Xenopus tropicalis: one gene and its partners. The protein of the gene in region 4 purifies or fractionates together with the protein of the main gene of each other region. This does not show direct contact. Links are inferred from orthologs where the notes say so. Each region holds a gene or a part of one and is shown on either strand. Other genes may lie near its edges.

Region 1 (4,490 bases), on a different chromosome or scaffold from region 4:
CTGGTTGCTAAGGTAAACAAGACCCCAGCAACCAGATAGCTGCTAAAACTCCAAACTGGGGAAGCTGCTGAACAAAAAACTAAATAACTTGATTGTGGGGTCGGTAATGTGACACATCCAGCCTATTCCTTCTGCCTGAGAAAATCAGATATGGGTCGCTTCCGGATATTCTAGATTGTAAGCTCTTTTGGACAGGACCCTCTTTACCTCTTCGGTTATTGGCTGCTTTGTGTGTAATTCTGCGTGTTTAACCAACCCCATTGGGGACTCTGTGAGGCTCTCTAAGTGTGAGTTCCCCTCTAGTCACCCCTTTGCCTGGGCACTAACTGTCATTTTCTTCAGGGCAAACTTATCAGCAATCGCTTTCCTATGCAAAATGGCAGTTATGAATCAAGGTGTTTGTTCACCATTAACAGTTACAGGTCTCTGTAAGAAGTGAGGAAACACATTGGGAAGCAGAAGAACCTATTACTGAGGCGGAAGGAGGAAGGGAGACTATCGGCTTTGGAACATTTTGGAGAAATTGTGCTCAGATTCTGAGTAAAACCATAACAGCCCCCGACCCCCCCAGAGTAACATTGTAGGGTACTTCCTACTCGGCTGCTCAGGGTTAAACAATACACATTGCGAATGAACATCTAGGTTAGTCAGTTAGTTGCAGCGACCATAAGTCTTACCCGGATGGGCCGTAGGGTCAGTCAGCTGAGAAGGTGTAGGCAGGTCTGGCTGAGAAGCAGAGAAGTCTCCCAGCACAGAACTTACAGAATTCTCAACAGAGGCAGGGGAAGCTGCAGAGGGAGAAGGGAGAACACTAGGCTGGGATGAAGGTGCTGAGACAACAGGGGTGCTCGGGGAAGGAGATGAGGACAATGAAAATGGTGGGAATGGCGGCAATGGGGGCGGAGGCGGCGGCACTTGGTAACCAGAGCAGTCTGCGTGCCCATTGGGTGCACAAGATATGAGAGCCATTTGGGCCAGCTGGCTGGGAGCGGAGACTAGATGGACGGGTCTGGGGCCGGTCGCTTTGCCCGGAGGACTACTAATCATCACCGGAGGAGAAGGAGGAAGGGGGGCAAAGTTAGAAGCCGACCATGATATGGGCTTCACGGGAGGAGGAGGTGGAGGCGGTGGAGGCGGAGCAGCATTCACCGGAGAAGGAGGTCGGGAGATTTTATTAACGGGTCGGGGAACGGTGGCGTAATGGGGCTGAACAGGATGAAAGGCGGAGCCCAAAGAGGTTGCAAAACGTGATGCCGAGTGGCGCAGCGGTGGTGTTGGCGGAGTAGAGTTAATGGAGGCAGAGGTTGCTATTACATAGTCAGCAATGGACTCGCTACAAATAGACGAGACCGGAACGGAAATGGCTTTAGCGTAAGTTATGGGAGAGGGTGCATGAGGCGGGCAGCTGGAAAAATCAACATGTTGAGTGTTATACAGTGAGCTGTCGAACGGGGGGTCTGGGGAGAGGTGGGATAGCAACAGACAGGACGAAAAAACAGGAAAAAAAGAGAAAAAAGGGGCTAATGAAGCAACCAAACCAGCATTCAAACAAAAAGTATAAATCAATGGAAATTGTTAGTAATAGATTAGATAAAGGGAATATTGCAATGAATTCATTGAGTCATAGGTGCAAGAAATTCTGCCTAACGGGGCATTGCTAGAGGGACTCTGTACCGCCCCCCCCCCCCCGGGGCAGAAAGATAATAACACCAGCACAATTGGTTTCAGTTACTCCACATTCATGTAGTGAGTCCGACTTACCTACTGTCCTTTCCCCCTAATGTCACTCACTCTCTACCCCACTGCCCCTGCCCGGGAATGGCACCCTACTGGTAAATACCCCATGTTGTGCAACCCCGGCACCACTCACTGCTGCCAGACTGGGCTACAAAGGGGGGCTTATTGCTTACTGAGGCCTGGGATTGATTGCCATGTACTCTCCCTGGGCAATTACCCTCTCCCTGGGCAATTACCCTCTCCCTGGGCAATTATGCTCTGCCTCCAAATACTCTGTAATGTGCAGAATATCATTTCCTTCTCAATAAAACAAGATATCGAAAAACATTAAGAGGGAATATGTCCGGCACGTCTATATCCAAAGCCCTAATATAAACCGGTCGTTCCTGCAGAAATCCAGCCAACTCCACTCTATGTTTAATATTTTGGTTTCAACAGTAGACTTTTTTATGCTGCAAACCAACGACTCCTGCTGCAAATCACTATATAAGGATGAAATCATCCATCCATTTCCCAGATCGCAGAAAGAAACCCGTGGAGTACGTTTACGGCAATAAGTGCCGGATGGTGTTTGAGAGTCACTGCAGGGTCAGCTGACCCCGGCACCTTCTATTAATGGCGGCTGATCCTTGGCTGGTAGATTTGGTTCATAGAGAGCAAAAGGGCCGAATGGGGCAATTCAGTGAGGGCTTGCAATGTACCACAGAGCAAACTGTACGACCAAGAAACCCCCACCCTCTAGGAAATAGGTGAATAGGAAAGCACTGAGAGACACCAAAGTCACAATGAGGCGCTTAGCACTATGGCCTCTCATATATATATTCAGTGAGCCAATAAGAGGGATCCAATTGGGAACGATGACTTACCTGCATTGGACACTCTCCGCTCCCTTTCCCATTCCAGCTGCTCCTTCTCCAGCTCTTCCTGGGCCTCTCTCTCTTGTCTCTCTTGTTCAAGTCTCTCTTGCTCTTGGAGCTCTCGCTCCAGCTGTTCTTGACGCTCCCTTTCCTGCCGTTCCTGCTCCAGTTGCTCTTGCTCTAAGCGCTCTCGTTCAAGTCTCTCCCTCTCCAGTCTTTCCCTTTCTTGCCTTTCCCTTTCCAGCCTCTCTCGTTCCATCCGTTCGCGCTCCAGTCGCTCACGTTCCAGCCGTTCCCTTTCCAGCCTCTCGCGTTCCATCTCTTTCTGGCGCTGCTGCTCTTGCAGCTGTCTGAAACAGGAACGGAGAGAGCCATGACACAGGGATAAAGGGAACCATGGCTACCTGCTAAATGCCCTCCTCTACCAACATTAATATTTTAATGGCAGTCACCTTTACTACTATGGAGGGGTCGGCGTGCTGCCGGTCACTAGTTCACAACCCATTATTCTCCCAAATAATCTCTTAACTAGGGTCACAGTGTCACTCACACTGTCATTCCAAAACCATAACAGAGCCAGGTACTGTCTGTCTGTCTGCATGCTGGGCAGGGAGTCACTGAGGGATCCATAAATGAGGCTTTTATACTATTGGATAATAAAGATCACAGAGGTGTAGAACTCATTGGCCCATTAGGTGTAACAGTATGAGGGGCCCTGGTGTAGAACTCATTGGCCCATTAGGTGTAACAGTATGAGGGGCCCTGGTGTAGAACTCATTGGCCCATTAGGTGTAACAGTATGAGGGGCCCATTAGGTGTAACAGTATGAGGGGCCCATTAGGTGTAACAGTATGAGGGGCCCATTAGGTGTAACAGTATGAGGGGCCCTGGTGTAGAACTCATTGGCCCATTAGGTGTAACAGTATGAGGGGCCCTGGTGTAGAACTCATTGGCCCATTAGGTGTAACAGTATGAGGGGCCCTGGTGTAGAACTTCATTGGCCCATTAGGTGTAACAGTATGAGGGGCCCATTAGGTGTAACAGTATGAGGGGCCCATTAGGTGTAACAGTATGAGGGGCCCTGGTGTAGAACTCATTGGCCCATTAGGTGTAACAGTATGAGGGGCCCATTAGGTGTAGAACTCATTGGCCCATTAGGTGTAGAACTCATTGGCCCATTAGGTGTAGAACTCATTGGCCCATTAGGTGTAGAACTCATTGGCCCATTAGGTGTAACAGTATGAGGGGCCCTGGTGTAGAACTCATTGGCCCATTAGGTGTAACAGTATGAGGGGCCCTGGTGTAGAACTCATTGGCCCATTAGGTGTAACAGTATGAGGGGCCCATTAGGTGTAACAGTATGAGGGGCCCATTAGGTGTAACAGTATGAGGGGCCCATTAGGTGTAACAGTATGAGGGGCCCTGGTTGTAGAACTCATTGGCCCATTAGGTGTAACAGTATGAGGGGCCCTGGTGTAGAACTCATTGGCCCATTAGGTGTAACAGTATGAGGGGCCCATTAGGTGTAGAACTCATTGGCCCATTAGGTGTAACAGTATGAGGGGCCCATTAGGTGTAACAGTATGAGGGGCCCATTAGGTGTAACAGTATGAGGGGCCATTAGGTGTAACAGTATGAGGGGCCCTGGTGTAGAACTCATTGGCCCATTAGGTGTAACAGTATGAGGGGCCCTGGTGTAGAACTCATTGGCCCATTAGGTGTAACAGTATGAGGGGCCCATTAGGTGTAACAGTATGAGGGGCCCTGGTGTAGACCTCATTGGCCCATTAGGTGTAACAGTATGAGGGGCCCTGGTGTAGAACTCATTGGCCCATTAGGCGTAACAGTATGAGGGGCCCTGGTGTAGAACTCATTGGCCCATTAGGCGTAACAGTA
Region 2 (4,490 bases), on a different chromosome or scaffold from region 4:
TCCACGGGGGATCGACTGGTGGACCACGATCTACGTATTGGCCACCCCTGGCTTATAACAATCTGAATAAAGCCACACGTGGCCAGTCACCTGGTTCCCACACTCACCTCTTTAGTGTTCTCCTTAGAGCCGATCTTCTTAAAGATTTCAGCAAGAAAGTCGCTCACGTTTGCTTTGGACACCTTGTCTTCCTACAGACAGAAAGTGCTTAGTTAGTTGGATTTTGTACAAAACCTTTCCTATGTTTTATTCCTTTGGGTCAGGGGTGGGCAAACTTTTGGGCTCACGGGCCACATTTACTTACCCCCGGGCTGGGCCGGACCGGACCAGGGCGGGCAGGGCCAGGCCAGCGTTAAGCCCTTCTTAGTCTCTTTAATTCCGGCCCGCCAATGACACCAAGTCTCGCGTGATGAGACTTGGCGTCGTTGGCGGGCCGGATTAAAAAGGCCAAGGGGCCGGATGTGGCCCGCGGGCCGTAGTTTGCCCACCCCTGCTTTGGGTCTAATCAGAAAGCAGGAACACTCATACACTAGTGAATACAACCGTGATGCCCTACAGTCCTAAGCATGCACTATCGCCCCGATATATAAAGTCTACTGGGATTTGTGTTCCAGCAACAACTGAATACAGTTTGGCCCAGGTCACTTCCTGGGAAAGAAACTAAAAACCATTAGATTGCAAGCTGTGAGCAGGCCCTAATGGATAAATCACAAATGTAGATTGCGAGCAGGCCCTACCCCTATTGATCTAAAAACATGCAACTTTAACAAGGCTAAAAAGGTGCCCATACATGTTGAGATCTGCTCGCTTGGCGATCTTCTCCCAATATCTCCACCTATGGGTGGGGGATATTGGGAAAATGTAGGCCAATTCGGTTGGCCTTGCGGCCAAACGATCGAATTCTAACGGCAGCAATGGCAGTCAGTTCGGGGACCACATCAACAAGCCGATTCGGTCCCCGATCAGACTTAATCTTTTAACATGCCCAATTGATGTCTGGCCAATTTCAGGCCAGATGTTGGTCGGCATGGCTGTCATTTCTGCCCCCACACGGGCCGATAAACTGCCGAATCGGTTTAAGGGACTGATATCGGCAGCTGCAATCGGCCTGAGTATGGCCGCCTCTCTGTTGAATATGCTTACCGTTATGTATTGTACTGGGGGCTATAAAGGCCACTAGGCATTTCTTTCTGCCTGCTTTTGCTCATTGTTCCTAGTGCCCCCTGTTGGCCAACTACACAATGGAAAACGGGCCATCAGTTAGAAACTTACAATGCGGGATGCTCCCTTCTCAGTCTCCTTGTCGCCCTTTGATCCAGTGCTATCCATGGAGTGCTTCATTACCCTGAGGAGGTGGGCCTCCAGCTCAGACTCGTGCTTGTTCTCAATCATACTCAGATGGTCCATGATCTAAAACACATTAAGTGTTTGCTACAGTCAACTTACATGGGATACTTGGAATCTATGGAAGTGATCATTGGCTACATTAGTTTGCACAATCTGAAGATCGCTGCTTAGCCTTAGGGGAATACAGAATACAATTAACCAATTGAAGTCAATTGCATCTTCTAACTCGGGGTTACGGCCAAAGTTAACCTTAAAGTTACTTAGTAAGTTCAAGAAAATCCAATTTTAAGCAACTTTTCAATTAATCTTCGTTATTTGTATTTCATAGTTTTTGAATTATTTGCATTTTTCTTCTAACTTGGCAGCTTTCAAATGGGGGTCCCTGACCCCAGCAGCCAAAAACTATTGCCGAGGCTGCATTTTTATCATTATATTTATAATACTTATTTTTCTATTCAGTTCCGCTCCTATTTGCAACTGTCTTTCATTCAAACCACACCCTGGTTGCTAAGGTAATTTGGATCCTAGCAACCAGATAGCTGCTGAAACTCCAAGCTGGAGAGCTGCCAAACAAACTGCAAATAAAAGACCAGTCTCAGATTACGACTCTTATCATACTAAAAGTTAACTCAATGGTGGACAATCCCTTTACATCTTTTTACACGAGGAACAGCCAACCCAAGCCTCTGTAAGCAACAATTTCCCACATTCCTTTGGCCAGCTTGTAATGCATTCTGGGATATGTAGTTCTGCGATATTAATATTCCCAGTGGCTTACTTTGGGCCCCTTGAGCTTGCAGAGTGTGTGCAGCAGAGTTTTCAATGTCCTCATAGGCAGCTCGCTCTTATGCTGCTTCAGCTTTTCCTTGGGCAGGACCCTCATGAAGTTGTGGATATCCAGCAGAATCCTATCCAGATTAAGGTTGTTTATGGACTCCGGCAGGAGACGGATCATTCGCCAGAGACACTGCGGAGACAAAAACTCAGGATTAGCAATGCAGTCCTACAGCGTTAGAAATAGATTGTCTAATAAAGTTTGGTTTGGACTTCATGTTATAATACAATTTAGCAATCGGCCTGGAACATAACCAATATGGCCAGCAAAGTTTTAGAGAGTTATAAGTTGCTCTATAGCTTTAAAGGCTTGTATAGTTTTTAATATAATATAATGTTAACTATGTTTAGGCTGTGAGCAACCATAGGGGATTGTTTGGCTGCATAGTTGCACTACTAGCCAATGTCAATAGGCCACACTGGCATAGGCCCACATCACCTGGTTGCCAGGCTAAGACTTCACTTAAGAGTAATAACATTTCAGGAAGTCGAACGCAGTGAACAATGGAAGCTCAAGTAAAACTGAATGTGATGTAGAGGTATTGCGGTGTTGAGAGTAATATAAATGTAACCCCTTGACTTGCCTCCCCCCACCAGCTCACTCTTTCCCCTTCTTCTCCTGCCCCCGACTCTCTCCCTTGTTGGTCTGTAAAGGGACTGTTCCCTTAAAGGAACAGTAACACCAAAAAATGAAAGTGTATAAAAATAAATTACGATATTATGTACTGTTGCCCTGTGCTGGTACACCTGGTATGTTTGCCTCAGAAAGACTACTATAGTTTATATAAACAAAGCTGCTATGTAGCCATGGGGGAAGCCATTCAAAGGAGGAAAGGCACAGGCACACAGCAGATAACAGATAAAGCTCCATTATATTCTACAGAGTTTATCTGTTATCTGCTATGTAACCTGTGCCTTTTCTCCTTTTTTCCAGGTTGAATGGCTGCCCCCATGGCTACACAGCAGCTTATTTATATAAACTATAGTACCGTTACTTTAGCAAATACACAACTTTACCTGTGCAGGGTAACAGTACATTATAGTTTAAATACGCTTTCATTTTTGGCGTTACTGTTCCTTTAATGCTGTTAAATCTTTAAAAAAGCAAAATAAAATCTTTTAAAAAAAAAACTGAATGCGATGTAATGACATGGAAACAAAGTTAGAGGGAAACTACATACAGGGGTATATTTATAATGCTGTGTAAGAAGTGGTAATTACCAGTGATGTGGCTCATAGCAGCCAATCAGATGCTTTGCTTTGGTTTTCTAACTGTTAATCTAATAGCGGATTGGTTTCCCGGGCAAAAGTGGGGTGAAGCATTACTGCCCGGGAAACCAATCAGCTATTAGATTAACAGAAAACCAAAGCAAAGCATCCGATTGGCTGCTATGAGCGACATCACTGGCAATTACCACTTCTTACACAGCATGATAAATATACCCCAAAGTGTTTAACATTAACAACTGACAAATATAAAAGATTCATCAACTAATGGAACAATTTTTGGATTGCACCGTACCTTCATAACCAGCTCATAGAATTTGGGGGAGCTAGCCGTAGCAAGGAGGCTATCCTGGAGCAGCATGAGCAGAGCACTGCAGAGACAGACAGAGTTAGTTTGGGCAGACTTACCAGATACCAGGGTTTCTATTAAGCAGGGGCTGTCAAAACTTTGTTCTAACCCCCTTTGACTATAGAATGGCCAGTTCTAAGCAACTTTTCAATTGGTCTTCGTTTTCTGTGTTATAGTTTTTGGATTTGCTTTTCTTCTGCTTCTTTACAGCTTTTATATTAGGGTCACTGACCCCGGCAGCTGAAAAAATCATTGCCCTGTGAGGCTACAATTTTTGCAATTGTTACTTTTAATAACTTTTGTATTCAGGCCTCTCCTACTCCAGTCTCTCATTCAAATCAGTGTGTGGTTGCGGGGATAATTTGGACCCTAGCAACCAGATTACCAGAGTTGCTACATAAAAGGTTAAAATAATGAAACCACAAATGAAAAAGACCAATTGCAAATTGTTTCAGAATATATCACTCTTCATAATACTAAAAGTTAAAGGTGAACAAACCCTTTAAGCCATGGCCCCCCTTAGTTATTTACTAGGTTACAGATAAAAATAGTGGCACAGTCATTCAACCATAGTTACGGTGCAGATAATACATTTTTATTCCAAGTCTTACTCTGACCTTCAAACTGGTTTTTGGGGTGTATCTAAAAGAAAGACTCCCCAAAGCTAACTCTAAGCAGCATTAAGGGAAAGCCTCCCCCCACCATTGCTCAATGCCCCCTGGGGTGGGAACCA
Region 3 (5,168 bases), about 19 Mb from region 4:
ATTTATTCATTCTACAATATCAGTGGTTTTGATTCCTTCTCCTTACGTTCTATATTACTATCACAGCTAAATTTGGTTATTGCCAGGCAGCACAACTATTAAAGATAACATTCTCAGATAGAGGATAAACAAGAGGGTAATTTTACTTGTCAAGTGTCTTGCAATACTACTAGAAGCCAGGACTTAGTTAGGGGGGGTGTCCTATGTTTAGGTTACACCAGTTTTGTTAGCAGGCCTAAATATAACTGAGGAGCAGACATGTGAATTTCCTAATGATCTATTCTGGAGAGGTATGTCAGCACAACTGCTCCAATCTCTGGGATGCTGTAGATGTTCTCATTTTCAGGATTTATATCAACTATTTAGATTTTTTATTTTAGAAGCCTGAGAGTGACCACTTATAAGGTAACATGTAATCTCCCAAACACGATGGACTCTATTTATTAACTATTGAAGAGGCAATGTTCTCTGTTTAGCAGTTCCTATTGATTTTGGAAAAGCTTTTTCACAAAGCTTCATTAAGAGGTGACTGGTCAGAATGATGCTGAAGACGATATCAGTATAGAAAAATGTCACCAATATCCTATTACTTCAATTATCCCTGGACTGGGAGTCAAAATAGGCCTGGCATTTGAAGTACCCAGAGGCCCAAACAGCCCCCCCCCAGCCCAATAAATAGTGAGTGTCTATGGCATCTTACAGCAGCCCCTCTGGCATTTGCCAGAACCCACAGATTGCCAGTCTGATTTCAAGAGCATTTCTACAACTACTACACAGCTACTCAATGTAGTCATCTTCACTATTTGCCAGTCTGGATGTTGGTGTGCAGCAAACAGGGTTAAACCTTTAAGTGTCATAATATAGAGGACTGGACATGTATTCTAGTACCAATTTGCCATTCTCTTTCAAGATAGGTGGTGGAATCTTACCTAGGGTACTTAAGAGTGGATATAGGTTGTATATCAACAGCTGGAAAGTTGCTGTTTGGCCATCCATGAATTGCACATTTTTACCCATAGACTGGGGCTTGCCCACCTCCATCCTTCCTACATACCCTGGCACCCCAACATCTATAACTGGAGCGGGTAAATCTAGCATTAGTGTCAATGTTTCTTACAAATATGGCACTGTTCCAAAGGCTGCTCAGCAGTTAAAGCACTAGAATTGTAACACCAAAAAATGAAAGTGTATCGAAGTATTTAATATATTATGTACTATTGGCCTGCACTGGTAAATGTTGTGCGTTTGCTTCAATAATCTTTACTATAGTTTATATAAACAAATCTGCTGTGTAGCCACAGGTGTAGTTATTTTAAGTTTAAGAAAGGAGAAAAGGCACAGGTTACATAGCAGATAACAAATAAGCTCTGTAGATCACCATTGTATTCTTCAAAGCTTATCCATCATCTGCTATGTAGCCTGTGCCTTTTCTCCTTTTTCCAGCTTGTATGGCTCTGTGCCACAGCTTATTTATATAAAACGCAGTAGTGTTTCTGAAGCAAACACAAAACATTTACCAACAGCACCTTATTACCAATAGCACCAAATATTTTTTGGTGTTACTGTTGCTTTAATAAAGTTGAGGGGATCCCTAGGGAGCCGCCTAACTTCTGTCTGCGCTGTGACGCAACGTTTCGAACACACCCAAATGCCCCTATGCCACTTGCCCAAATCAAAGATGTCAGCTTGGAGTCCCTTGGCAGTTACGGAGCAGCAAATGGGATTCCATTTTAGGGAGGGGCTTGAGGTGCTATGCCACGTCCCTTTATTGCGAGTTGGTGTCTTCTGATGAGGGCTGCTGTGGGATTGGCTAAGGGCGCTTGGTGGGCGCGGTCTGAGGGCGCAGAGTGGCAGTTGCTGTGAGGCACCGGGCGATGTGTTCCTGCTGGGGCTGAGCCGCTACCGGGAGCGGCGGAGGGATATGGAGGACGTTAACTCCAATGTGAGCGCAGACCAGGAGGTGCGGAAGCTGCAGGAGCTCGTCAAAAAGCTCGAAAAGCAAAATGAACAGCTCCGGTTACGTTCCAACCACACTCCGAGCTCTCCCCGGGCAGCCACTCCTGTCAGCCAGCAGCCCCGGGCACAGGCCGTTCCGCCAGCCGCCTCTTTCCAACTTTTTGCCGGCCGTAGCCTGAGCCCGGGGCCTGGTCTGTATGAGAGACCGGCTGGGCTAGCGGACGGGGCGACATGGGAAGAGCTGCTGGAGGAAGCCATAGAGGAAAGGAGGAAGGACGGGGAGAGCGGCCTCATGCTGGAGCAGCTAGTGCCACTTCGGCCGGAGGAACTGGAGAGGATGGTCCCCTTTGATGAAGAGGAGAGCTGGTAATTCTTCTATTTCATTGTGACAGGAGCTCCCAACTGTTGCTGAACTACAACTCCCACCATGGCCCGAATGCTGCCACCCAGCTCTATAAATGTCTTATCTGCCCCAAAACTGCTTTATCTTCATAGTGACAGTAATGGCCATTCTGGGCCACTGCCCAATATGCATTCGTTAGGGTTAATGCCTTTATAGTTGTTTTGAAATATAATTAGCACTGAATGCCTTCTGTGTTTATATACTGTACTGCTGCTGTCCCTGACTCATGAAACCATGTAGCAGAAGCTAATGAGCAGGCCTGAAAGGGAATTGAACACTTTAACAGCTGTTTCAAGAGTCAGAACCAGAGAACAGAAAGTGATAAATACTGTTTTTTCCTTGTATAGAAAAAAAAGTTTACAGCCATTTACATTTTGTATTAATCATATATAGAATGACACAGCAAAAGAAAGTTATTGGGTTGGAGAGCCCCTTTACAAGTTGCAGCAGGTTAGGTGGCCCTGAACTACATGAATTCCAGTCTGTGTTCCCTGACAACTTTATTTCTCTTTTATTCCAATGGGATCTGTATCCTGTGCATGTCCAGCTGTATTCCCACTGCCGCTGCCAATAATATTGCAAAGGGCTGGGAGTGAAGTACAATAAGAAGTGCAACAATAAGAATCAAACTTGCTGTGAGTCTGTATACTGTGGGGGCTCAGGGAGTTGTAGTCTAGTAACTGTAGAAGGTCTTCTCAGGGCAGATTTTGCTCCTTTTATACTGGGAGGTATTTTGTGACTGCTGAGTAATGTGCAGGTTGCCATCCTTGCCCTTCCCTGTAATGAACATGATCTTCCTTAGCACTCTGCTATTGATGCCAGCAGTCAGCCCTATGTAATATACGTTATTATCCTTTGCATAAATCTATGGCTGAAGATAACGCCAGTATATGTTGGGGACTACGAGGCTTTCACAACACAAGCAGCTTGGCATTAGTAGCACCTATGGGCCAGGCGCGTGAGTGTTAGCTGAGGCATCTGCTGATATAATCCTGTGTACTTGTCAGTAGGAGAGCAGTCAGAAGGACAGGGACTCCTCAGGAGTCAGCATTTAGCAGAGTGCATTGATCTTACCCGGATGGCTCGTCTCTCAGCAGTAGCAGCACTTACAGGAGCTGGCATGAGCATTATTTTTAATCATCCGTTCTGAGTATTATCAGTAAGTATTGATATACCATTGGTACCCTGATGCCAACCTCTTCCTCATATTCTCTACGGATTAGAAGCAATATCACTAGAAAACACACAATTCCATAGTCTCTTCCCATAGACGCTGCCATAATGTGCGGGCACAGCTGCTTTCCCCGGGCACAGAAGCTTTCCCTGGCACAAGAGCTTTCCCAAGCACCTATAAAACAGCCTGGGACATGGCAGTCATTTTTGTTTTCTTGTATAGAGGAACGGGGTGACGTAAAGAGACTGGCATGCTTTTATGTGGGCTGGATGCTAATGAAAAGTTGTTTTCTGGCTGGTAACATTAAGTACCCATAAAGAGCAATCCCTGCAGCAGGAAGGCACTTGTCTGACTGCCATAACAATAGCCTGGGTCACAGGTAATTACCAAACTGTTTCATGCTGTACTATGATGTGATGCTAGATTTATAAATTCCTTTAAAGGATATTTAAAGCAAATTTCACCGGGGACGGGGGGCAGTAAAAATGTAAGGCACCCCCAGTGAAATAAATTGCAGAGTTGTTTCCCCTGCCTGGGACTCCTGTTTGAGGAAGACTGCACAGGCCCATGGGAAAAACTATCTGAGCGCTGCATTTTAGTTACTTTCTCCAGGCACCCCTAGTGCATATTTTTATTTCCAAGTAAACCTGGCACATAAGCAGTTTTACTCTACTGCTTATGCACGATCACCCGTATCCAAAGTCTTAGCATATGGTGCAGTGGGTGGTGCAGTTTTCTTTTTGGCACTACAGTAAGGTAGGCTTTACATGTCCAAGATTGGCTCATATGGCTTCTTGGACAAGTGTAATATCCAAGTCTACAGTGAACTCAAGAATTACAGTTAGTTTAGTGTAGTAGTTTGTATACAGGTATGGGACCTGTTATCCTGACTACTCGGGACTTGGGGTATTCCAGATAAGGAGTCTTTTTGGAATTTGGATCTCTATACTTTGTCTACTGAAAAATAATTTAGCAGTTAAATAAACCCAATAGGACTGTTTTGCATCCAATAAGGATGTTAGTTGAGATCAAGTACAAGGTACTACAGAAAAAAAAAAAATAAGTAAAAAAAATAAAAATTACATTATTTGCTTAAAGTGGAATCTAAGATGGTTTTCCCGTAATTCAGAGATTTCTGGATAACAGGTTTTAGGATAATGGATCTTATACTTGTATATAGTTTATATATGTGAGTGTATTGATAAGGCTATATAGGTACAGGATCCATTATCCAAAAAGCTCCAAATTACAAGAAGATCCTAATTACAAGTCCTTTTTTATCAACTAATTTATATTTTTAAAAATGATTTTCCTTTTCTCTGTAATAATTAAACAGTACCTTGTACTTGATCCCTGATCCCTATTGGAGGCAAAGCATTCTTATTGGGTTTATTTATTTAACATTTAAATTATATTTAGCAGACTTAAAGGGGTGGTTCACCTTTAAGTTAACTTTTAGTATGTAATAGAATGGCCAGATCTAGTCAACTTTTCAATTGGTCTACATTATTTATTATAGTTTTTGAATTATTTGCCGCCTTCTTCTAACTCCAGTGACCCCCATTTTTAAATTGGGGTCACTGGCTCCGTCAGCCAAAAAACTGTTATTGCTGTTTTCGGCTTATTGTTACTTTT
Region 4 (5,257 bases):
AGTGTTTGGCCAGAATACAGCTTTGGGTACCTGGAGGGTCATTTAATTTTAATTAGCTGATTTTTTGCATTCCAGACCCAAATATATAAACTCTGCAATACAGTAACTAATTGTATGGGTTGGAGGTCCATAAACCGTTTTCTCCAAAACAGTGGTTAATGTAGGCAGTGTTAAAGGGGAAGTTTGCACCTTGTTTATCACCTTAATATTACCTAATTAACTTCATCAGATGGAAGATATGAAAAGTGTGAAACCAAAGCTCCTCTATTGCTAGGTTATTAAATAAAATCAATATGGATAGTTTTTTCTTTAAAAGTGTAGGTAGATGTATTTTCAACATAAACTCTATTTATTTAGCGCATGCTGCAAGAAAGGCCCCTTTAAAGGAAAAGTAACACTAAAATTTTTTTAAGTGAAAAAGCTATTCTACCCTGCACCAATAACCGCCCTATCCTGCAAACCACTTAGTATTTTGAATGCTTTAATAGAATATACCTGTTAAATGAATGCTTTAATAGAATATACCTGTTAAAACTTGCCTTCCTGTCAATTGCACTACAGTGATACGGCGAAGGAAGGAGCAGCATCCACTGTGCGACGATTGATGAGTCTAGCCTGACTCCTTCCTATACAGAAGGAAGGCTAGGCTCGATCAACCGATCGTCGCACAGTGGATGCTGCTCCTTCCTTCGCCGTATCGCTGTAGTGCAATTGACAGGAAGGCAAGTTTTAACAGGTATTTTCTATTAAAGCATTCATTTAACAGGTATTTTCTATTAAAGCATTCAAAATAATGATAAATCCTCTCCACCCTCTAGATTTCTTAAGCCTCCACTAGGGAGCCCAGATGCCAGGTAACATTTTACACAAATTCTGCAGCTTCAGGAAGAATATCAAGCATGTCGGCCACACCCACGTCAATGGAGGTGCCAATTTATAAACTTCAGATGAGGTTCTTCATGCACACTGGCATAGGGTGGTACCTACCCACCATCTCCTCCCAGCTATCCCCTGCCCCCCCTACAGACTCCATGAACAAGCAGTAAATCACTCTTTAGAAAAGTTCTCTACTGTCTATTCAGTCTGAAAGCCTGTATAGGGCACCGGGGATGGCAGACACCCACCCTGAGCAATACAACCCCAGTCCAGGGTATAACTAGACCCCCAGGGTGGCAATGCTTTGGTGGATTTTGTGGATTATACCTAGAGCTGGGCGGTATGACCAAAAATTTATATCACGGTATTTTTCAAAATTATATCAGTATCACGGTATTTGACGGTATTTTTTTTTCCAATTAACATTGGTGGCCAGGGCCCCTAAATATTGCTATTGAGACAATTAGTATTTAATCCACAGGGAACAAAGTTGAAAATATATGGAAAGGCTCGTGTTGGTACAATTCCTCAGAGGTTCTAAATCGGTATATGAAGCACTGCTTCATGCAGTTCTGTACTTGGAATGTGCAATTTTGGGAGGTTTGTACCAGTGAGGCGCAAGTAGAGGGAGCATGTAACCAGCTGTGACCAGCAGGAAGCTTTCCCCCCACTTTCCCCTTATAATTACGATTATTATTTATAAGCACCACCCCCCATACAGCAAGTTGGCCAGCGATGCGGCCCGTGCCGCTTCTGTTTGCGCCCCGTGCGTACTGACGTCATGTACGCACGGGGCGCAACCCGATCATCACCGGTATGGGGGTATTTCAAAAATGAATATCGTTTTTTAAAAAAAAAAAACTGTATTCGGTATTTTACGGTATACCGCCCAGCACTAATTATACCAACAAAATGAAATGCAATTGGTTGCAAGTCTGTACTGGGATTGAACATAGGCCCTGGCATTTCAGGTACACAGAGGCCCAAACAGCCCCCCAGCAGCCCAATAAATAGTGAGTGTCTATGGCACCTTATAGCAGCCCCTCTGGCATTTGCCAGATCCCATAGATTGCCAGTCTGGGCCTGATTTTCAGTACACAGAGGCCCAAACAGCCCCCCAATAAATAGTGAGTGTCTATGGCACCTTACAGCAGCCCCTCTGGCATTTGCCAGAACCCACAGATTGCCAGTCCAGGCCTGATTTTCAGTACACAGAGGCCCAAACAGCCCCCCCCAGCCCAATAAATAGTGAGTGTCTATGGCACCTTACAGCAGCCCCTCTGGCATTTGCCTGAACCCACAGATTGCCAGTCCAGGCCTGATTTTTCAGTACACAGAGGCCCAAACAGCCCCCCAATAAATAGTGAGTGTCTATGGCATCTTACAGCAGCCCCTCTGGCATTTGCCTGAACCCACAGATTGCCAGTCCAGGCCTGATTTTCAGTACACAGAGGCCCAAACAGCCCCCCAATAAATAGTGACTGTCTATGGCATCTTACAGCAGCCCCTCTGGCATTTGCCTGAACCCACAGATTGCCAGTCCAGGCCTGATTTTCAGTACACAGAGGCCCAAACAGCCCCCCAATAAATAGTGAGTGACTATGGCACCTTACAGCAGCCCCTCTGGCATTTGCCTGAACCCACAGATTGCCAGTCCAGGCCTGATTTTCAGTACACAGAGGCCCAAACAGCCCCCCAATAAATAGTGAGTGTCTATGGCATCTTACAGCAGCCCCTCTGGCATTCCCAGTACACAGAGGCCCAAACAGCCCCTCATAAGCCCAATAAATAGTGAGTGTCTATGGCACCTTACAGCAGCCCCTCTGGCATTTGCCTGAACCCCCAGATTGCCAGTCCAGGCCTGCTGGTTGCTATAGGTGACAGGACATGGATACCTTTGCATGTATAAGTTCGTAGAATTCCCAGACTACAGTTCCCAACCCTCTCCTCCTCACCATGCAGTGCAGTAAGGCCAAGGGGTCGCTGTGTATTAAATAGTAATAAAGCCATTACCCCAACCCCTAAGTAAATAGTCTTTCTGCCCAAAATCCAGACCTGCGCCCCTGTGACGCTGAACATTGTTAAATACCGACGTCGCTTAAACATCTAAACAATACGTGCGCCCCCTTTGCCTCAACAATCACGACACAGAAGTCAGTCATCGCCCGTGTATACCAGCCCCACCGATAGCAATAAGAACCCAGTCACAAACTACTTCGCCATATCCCCTCACCTGCGAGAAGAAGGCCTGAGCTGCCGGCACCGCGCTATTTAAACCTTTATGCACCCCGGCGGGTATCTGTGCAAGCCTGCTGCGCCTCAGACGCTTTTTGACCATGTACTTTTTTTGAATTTCTGAGTTTGGAAGAACCCGTCCAATCACAGCTGCCGAAAACTCCCTACGTCACGAACAGTTACGAATGAACCAATCACAGAGCGCGGGCTGTGACACGGGTTTGCGCGCCCCCGTACAGTGAGAGGCGTGACTGTGTGTGACGTCTTTGTTTTAGCGGGATCGCGCTTCCCTGTGTAATGGCTTACTGTTCTGCTTGTTGTCTTCTCATTTCATTCCCGCCTGCCACGTATCCTCCCCTGGGTTCTTGTGCTTTCTCCCACTTGTTTAATAAATATATGTCTAATATAAATACTTATTTTTGGTTATCACCAGTCACTGCTAGATTTAGTGTAAGGCAGAAATGGTGTTTGCCAGAATCTGAGAAGTCTCTTGTGAGGAATATATAATTGTGCTATTAAGGTGTCCATAGAAGTTCTGATTCTTGTTTCCTTCCAACAAATGTTCAGATAAAATTGTTGGATAAAGTCCGAAACATAAAATAATTGGCAGACAACAATTGTAGGGAAAGTGATGTCCTGGAAATGCACCTAAAGGTGGCCACACACATGGTGATCTGCGATCTTTCGCGATCGTCAGACCCGCCACTAACCTTCAGGGCTGAAACGGCAAATAAGGAGGTAGAAACAATAGGATTTCTACCTCCTTCTGCCGATTCAGCCCTGACAGCAGATTTTGCCTTCTATGGCGCCCGATCAAAATCTTTTGACCTGGCCGATCTGCGAGTCAACTGATATCAGCAGCCTCCTGCGATACCGGTCGACTCGCCAACTTGCCATACACGCACCGAATATCGTACGAAACGAGGTTTCGTGCGATATTATCGGTGCGTGTATGCCCAGCTTTAAGATATCGTCAGATACACAATTCAAGCACAGATTTTGTTGTTATTCTACCAAAATTTTCTAATCTGTCTGATTGACTAAACAACCAAGCACCACGTGGTCCAACAATTGGACGAAACTATGTGGGTGTATGGCCAGCTTTAGACATGGTGGCAAACCGTGGCAGTTGCTGCTTTATAAAGGCTCTAGCCCAGGGGTCCAATTGCATCCACCAGTCAATCCCCCGTGGATTTCTGGTGGAACGCAATCACGCCAGGAATGCAGGAGTGCTCCGTCAATGCGTACGTACGCTGCGTCACGTATGTAGGTATTCACGCCGTACTTCCGCATTCCGTGTTGATCCGGTCGATCGCGACTAAAGAAAGTCTGGCCACCCCTGCTCTAGCCCATCTAGGGCACTAAATGCAACTGAAGCAAAGCTTCCTCCGGCACCTAGGGTTGCCACCTGTTCTGGAAAAAAATACTGACTGCCTATATTTTGGCCTTTTTTTCCCTATTAATAACACGGCATAAAAGGAACAGTAAAACCAAAAAAGTGTATAAAAGTAATTAAAATATTATGTACTGTTGCCCTGCACTGGTGAAAGTTGTGTGTTTGCCTCAGAAAGACTTCTATAGTTTATATAAATAAGCTGCTGTGTAGCCCCGGGGGCAGCCATTCAGGAGAAAAGGCACAGGTTACTTAGCAGATAACAGATTAAACCCCATTATATTCTATATAGTGTATATTATCTGCTAAGTAACCTGTGCCTTTTCTCCTGAATGGCTGCCCCCATGGCTACACAGCAGCTTATTTGGTTTTGTCAGAGTTTGACACCACTGACAGATATGCCAACTTGCCATTTTTATTAACATTTTGGCCACACCTTGTTTTGCCGCAATCACGCCTGGTTACACCCCTGGCCACGCCCCATACCCACTCCCAGCTATGCCCCATGCTGCCTGTATCAGTTTAATGCAGGGTTTATATATCTTTTTTTTACTGGTAAGTCTAAAATTAACCTTTGACACAAATGAAGGGAAGCAGGAGACTGGGCCAAAACTGACTCCTGAAACTATAGGGAAAGTTGGCATGTTTGCCCAGAGGGAGTCATCAGAAAGCAATGGTCATTGACTGATATAACTTCTTTGGCCATCAAGCCCAGTAGCAACAGCAGCAGGCCAGTTGCAGAAATATTCACTT
Region 5 (4,490 bases), on a different chromosome or scaffold from region 4:
GGCGCAAATGTAAATCGCCGGTGGGATGGCATATGCGGCGGCGTGATTTGCGGAAATCACCGAAGTTACCTCGAGACGCAACTTTGGCGATCACGCCGCCGCGTATGCCATCCCACTGGCGATTTACATTTTCGCCGGTGGTATGTCATATTGGGGAGATTAGTCGCCCGCAACATGGGAGATTTGTCGCGGGCGACTAAACTCCCTCGTGTGCCAGAGCCCTAAAGCTTTCTGCAGAATAAATATAGCGTTCTAGCTTGCACTATTGTGACTAATCTATTGGCAATAAAATGTCAAAATGCCTTTCCTTCTCCTTTAAGGTTGTGAGATACTGGTCACATTTTTCAGGTGGCTAAAAATCACTGAAAACCTTCCCTGCCAGCTGCCAACCCCCACTGACTTCAACAGTAAACACCATACAGCAAGAATTTCTGTGGCTTTCAACCTAAAAACACTTGCGCTGTGTTTCCTTTATGCCAAAAGGAAGCAGAGCAGTTATTAGGTGTACACAAGAGTTCCGGATAGGGGCTCATGGTAAAAAAACTGAACTAGTAATTTGTGGATTCTGGCAAATGTTAGAGGGGCTACTGTAAGATGCCACAGACTGTCACTATTATTATTATTATTGGGCTGCTGAGGTGGCATGTTTGGGCCCCTGTACTTTGAATGCCAGGCCTATTTTGAATCCCAATCCAGACCTGGAGGGGCCTGAGAAATACTAAAGTCCCATTTGCAGACAATGAAGGGGTGGGGCAGATCAGGGGCTTGGTCTGGTGCAAAATTTTTAATTGGCTTCTTTTTTGCATTGGGGACACATTCTACTTAGTTGTCAGGGACCACTGCCCAGGAGTCTAGGGCAATTGGTAAGCTAAAAACCCTGGCAGCCCCTGCTAGTCAAGTAGTACAGGTGCCCATAATTTCTGGATGCAGGCCTCAAAGGTGGTAGTAGGGTACAATTTAGCCAGCTAAAAAAAAGCACTAAATGTGCTATATGTGCAATCAACCTAAACCCTTGAATGAAACAAAAGTTTTACCTTACTAATATTTTGCAGTAAATGTTTTGCTTTTCTGCTCTGTTTATTTTCTCAAATGGCAGGTGGGTATGATTCCTGCAAGCCACTCCAACATGCTGCCTCTAACCCAACTATTATATTGCATGCATAGTCTCAGACCATGACAATAGTTTTTTTTGTTCTGTAAATATATTTAGAATAAAGCACTTTACACAGCAATTATGTCTTTTTAGTGAAGGAAAATCTACATTTCCTTCAAAATCTGTGTACTGCAAATATGATTAAAAAGTAAATACTGAAGACATACATAGCAGTTATCTCCCCTGGTAATACTGGCTGGTTCCTTTATTGGAAAGTTACTTTTTATTAGTATGTGTTTAGAACAGTTTCTAAAGCTGGCCATATAATGTGCTGATAATATATTAAAATATATTTTTCACTTACCACTCTGGCCACGTCCTGCCTGAATATCATTATCATCTTGGGTTGTGGTGGGTGGTGGGCGCTCCCCTTGCTGTGTCATCATCTTCCTGTAATTGTGAGAAGGTATACGACAACTTACACAATGGCCCACCTGTTTCCCCTGTTTGCCTCCCTCCCTGGATAGGCTTGTCTAAAGCCCATTTTGATTTGATTTTAATTAGTTTTGAATTTATTTTCCTTGTAATTAGTATACAAAACTTAGCCAGCCTATGGAATAAATACATAATTCTATTTGCATGTTTTATAGAAATAAAATAAATAGTGGAACATACTGTATACAAATGCTACTCTTAGCTAAATCTGATAAAAAAACACAAAGCAAAACAAAAGCCTCCCAATAGTGAAGTATTGTATGGCACAGTTTATTCATACCAAAGTGCAACACTTTGGTTGAAACACTTACAGTATATAATACCATACTCTCTGCTGGTCCGATTTATACGCCCCCCCTTACACTTCTTTTTTCCAGTGTCCACTATGTTTCTATTAGGGTTAAGGTGGCCATACACGTAGCAATAACGATCACTGGTCGCACAAAAGATCGTTCCCACCCTCCACTGACGTTCAGGGCTGAATCGTCAGATATGGACATAGAAACAATAGAAATTCTACTTCCACCTGCCAATTCAGCCCTAAATGTAGATTTTGCTGGGGTGCAATTCTTTTAGCCTGGCCAATCGACGAGACGACCGATATCCGCAGCTTTTGCCATATCGGTTGCCTCATCGAGCCGCCATACATGTTTCATACGATAATATTGGTGCGTGTATGGCTTTAGTCAGGAATACTGGAACAAAGGCAGTTTAGACATCAGCCATCCAGTGACAGTCTGCCTGGAAACCTGTTTGCACCATAAGCGTTTTTCTCTCCTCTACTACATGCACACATCAGCATTTACCCACAGTTACGAGACCACAAAACCGGATTCTAAATTAATTCCTTTGCTTGCTTATAAAAGTATGATACTAAGCACATTGGGGCAAACATATTCTTACAATACTTCAATATATACATTTTAACATTCCATGTCAGCTAATTAACTATTGAATGTAATAGTAAGGTGATGAGAAGTGTGCACAACATTTTGGTTTAATCATGATTCTTCTATTGTAGAAATGGTGGGTCTATGCTACACGTGGCAGAGATCACCCTGTTTGTACACCCCCTGCATACTTTTTATTTGCTGAAGCATTGTATTGTTACAACAACCTTTCAAATCTGCTGCCAGGTTACCTGCGAGCCAGTTTTGCATTCATCTCTTCCATCAGTCCTCCTCCACCACCCCCTCCTGTTGCTGCCCCACCACTTGTGCGACTTATGTCAGGCTTGGCAGGTGCTCCACCAACGGGAGAGGATCCTCCACCACCAGCATCATCATTCTAAAAAACAAATTAAAAAAAAAAAAAAACTAGTATGGTCCATAAAAATGACTGTCCTTTCACCCCAGACATACATTAATCAATTATAATTGTTATCATTTTATCTTGCTTCCTAGTGTTCCATGTTTTCTACCATCTAGTATATGTACTCCCATCATATGGTACTTCACTCATATGGTATATAGATATAGCTATATAGATTTTCCTCTAAACTTCCCATACAATGCTTGTCAAACCTTTGATTCTCACCTTGGCCACTTTCCGCAATTTTGCTGTTGCAAGGGCTGCCGCCAGCCCCCCAGAAACTCCACTTGAGCCTCCTCCACCCCCAGATGGAAGTGGGGGTGGGGGTGGGGGACCACCTCCAGTGGGAGCTGGAGGAGCTGGTGGGCCCCCTGGGGGGCCCCCTGGTGGTGGTGGTGGACCTGGGGGAGGAGGTGGGCCAGGTGGTGCAGGGGGAGCAGCAGGAGCAGGAGTTGGCATGACCGGGGCAACTGGAAGAGTGTAAAGAGAAGAAGATACTCTCAGCAGGGCAATCATTTAAAAACTAATTATAATGGTATATAGTATAATAATTGTTTATACTCTAACAATAACTACTATCTGTAAATCCCAAAGTTGGCCTTTTAATGTGCAGATAGCTCAATACCTCAACAATCTGTTAAAAACATATACACCCACACATTTCCCACTTCTGCAATGGTATCTTTTGCCACAATAAAGGTTCTGCCCTGGGACCCACAGCAAAAGGGAAATATACAAGCTATAAAGCCGAACGGCCCCTATTTCCCTTACCTGGGCTCTGAATCCTCTGCTCAATTTCCTGTTGCACCCTGAAAGTAGAGGAAATATATAAAGGATATCTGAAAGCAAGTGAATTACAAAGTGTTTTACCCTGTACTTCAAGAGCAGCTCAAAGCTCTAATCTTTTAATACTTAAAGGGGTAGTTCACATTTAGGTTTGTTGAGGAAAATCATTTCTTTTAATTATGTGGCTTTCTCTTCTGCTTGTTTCCAGCTTTTACATGGGGGACACTGACCCAGCAGCCCACAACAATTTCTAGCAACCAGATATCTGTTGAAGTGCCAAACTGGAGAGCTACTGAACAACACACTAGTCATTTAAAAAAGCCAACTGCAAATTGTAATAGAATATTACAGTCTACATCATGGAAGTAACATTTATTTTAACATGAACGACACTTTTAAAAGCTGCTATGCCTTAGTTTTTTATTTGTCTATAAGAAATATTTAAAGGTGTATTTTCATATTTTTCCATTGCCATTTTTTTAATTGTTGCCATTGGCCTAATCATCATCCACTGTTCAGTTGCTGTTTAACAACCTTTCTTATTTCTCTTGTCTACAGATAAACATAATTTTGGTAATAAAGTGAGCAAATGCATCTTGGGCACAAAGTAATACAATATGCTTTCATGTCTTAAATGCTAGTTTTGCAAACAGACTCTGGCTGGAGAAAAATCCAGGCCTTTCTTTATTGTCACCTGACCCAGATTTGTGGCGAGGCTACAAAGGCCTGGGCCTATGGCGGCACAGATATAGGGGCAGCACACCGCCCCGCCACACCTAATCTTTGAAATTTAGCTCCCATACGG

Evidence for each region.
Region 1: the proteins of tacc3 (region 4) and enah purify together in Homo sapiens (co-immunoprecipitation; 3 studies listed by BioGRID and IntAct, with this or other methods). This does not show direct contact. The link is inferred for Xenopus tropicalis from reciprocal best matches to the Homo sapiens genes TACC3 and ENAH.
Region 2: the proteins of tacc3 (region 4) and ckap5 purify together in Homo sapiens (co-immunoprecipitation; 5 studies listed by BioGRID and IntAct, with this or other methods). This does not show direct contact. The link is inferred for Xenopus tropicalis from reciprocal best matches to the Homo sapiens genes TACC3 and CKAP5.
Region 3: the proteins of tacc3 (region 4) and slain2 purify together in Homo sapiens (co-immunoprecipitation; 3 studies listed by BioGRID and IntAct, counting the BioPlex papers as one, with this or other methods). This does not show direct contact. The link is inferred for Xenopus tropicalis from reciprocal best matches to the Homo sapiens genes TACC3 and SLAIN2.
Region 5: the proteins of tacc3 (region 4) and vasp purify together in Homo sapiens (co-immunoprecipitation; 3 studies listed by BioGRID and IntAct, with this or other methods). This does not show direct contact. The link is inferred for Xenopus tropicalis from reciprocal best matches to the Homo sapiens genes TACC3 and VASP.

What each region holds. Positions count from the first base shown.
Region 1 is NC_030681.2:8,522,492-8,526,981, reverse strand, and holds part of enah (protein enabled homolog), read right to left. Parts: exon of another isoform or gene 4,386-4,490; intron 4,313-4,385; exon of another isoform or gene 4,219-4,312; intron 4,142-4,218; exon of another isoform or gene 4,118-4,141; intron 3,825-4,117; exon of another isoform or gene 3,729-3,824; intron 3,556-3,728; exon of another isoform or gene 3,202-3,555; intron 2,945-3,201; coding exon 2,604-2,944; intron 1,458-2,603; coding exon of another isoform or gene 678-1,457; intron 1-677. UniProt on the Homo sapiens protein: Ena/VASP proteins are actin-associated proteins involved in a range of processes dependent on cytoskeleton remodeling and cell polarity such as axon guidance and lamellipodial and filopodial dynamics in migrating cells.
Region 2 is NC_030680.2:12,922,344-12,926,833, reverse strand, and holds part of ckap5 (cytoskeleton-associated protein 5), read right to left. Parts: intron 3,780-4,490; coding exon 3,704-3,779; intron 2,315-3,703; coding exon 2,126-2,314; intron 1,411-2,125; coding exon 1,273-1,410; intron 192-1,272; coding exon 108-191; intron 1-107. UniProt on the Homo sapiens protein: Binds to the plus end of microtubules and regulates microtubule dynamics and microtubule organization. Acts as a processive microtubule polymerase. Promotes cytoplasmic microtubule nucleation and elongation. Plays a major role in organizing spindle poles.
Region 3 is NC_030677.2:38,879,620-38,884,787, forward strand, and holds the start of slain2 (SLAIN motif-containing protein 2), read left to right. Parts: upstream 1-1,789; 5' UTR 1,790-1,921; coding exon 1,922-2,322; intron 2,323-5,168.
Region 4 is NC_030677.2:20,374,103-20,379,359, reverse strand, and holds the start of tacc3 (transforming acidic coiled-coil-containing protein 3), read right to left. Parts: upstream 3,231-5,257; 5' UTR 3,110-3,230; intron 1-3,109. UniProt on the Homo sapiens protein: Plays a role in the microtubule-dependent coupling of the nucleus and the centrosome. Involved in the processes that regulate centrosome-mediated interkinetic nuclear migration (INM) of neural progenitors.
Region 5 is NC_030684.2:70,566,202-70,570,691, forward strand, and holds part of vasp (vasodilator-stimulated phosphoprotein), read right to left. Parts: intron 3,709-4,490; coding exon 3,671-3,708; intron 3,370-3,670; coding exon 3,125-3,369; intron 2,876-3,124; coding exon 2,730-2,875; intron 1,544-2,729; coding exon 1,458-1,543; intron 1-1,457. UniProt on the Homo sapiens protein: Ena/VASP proteins are actin-associated proteins involved in a range of processes dependent on cytoskeleton remodeling and cell polarity such as axon guidance, lamellipodial and filopodial dynamics, platelet activation and cell migration.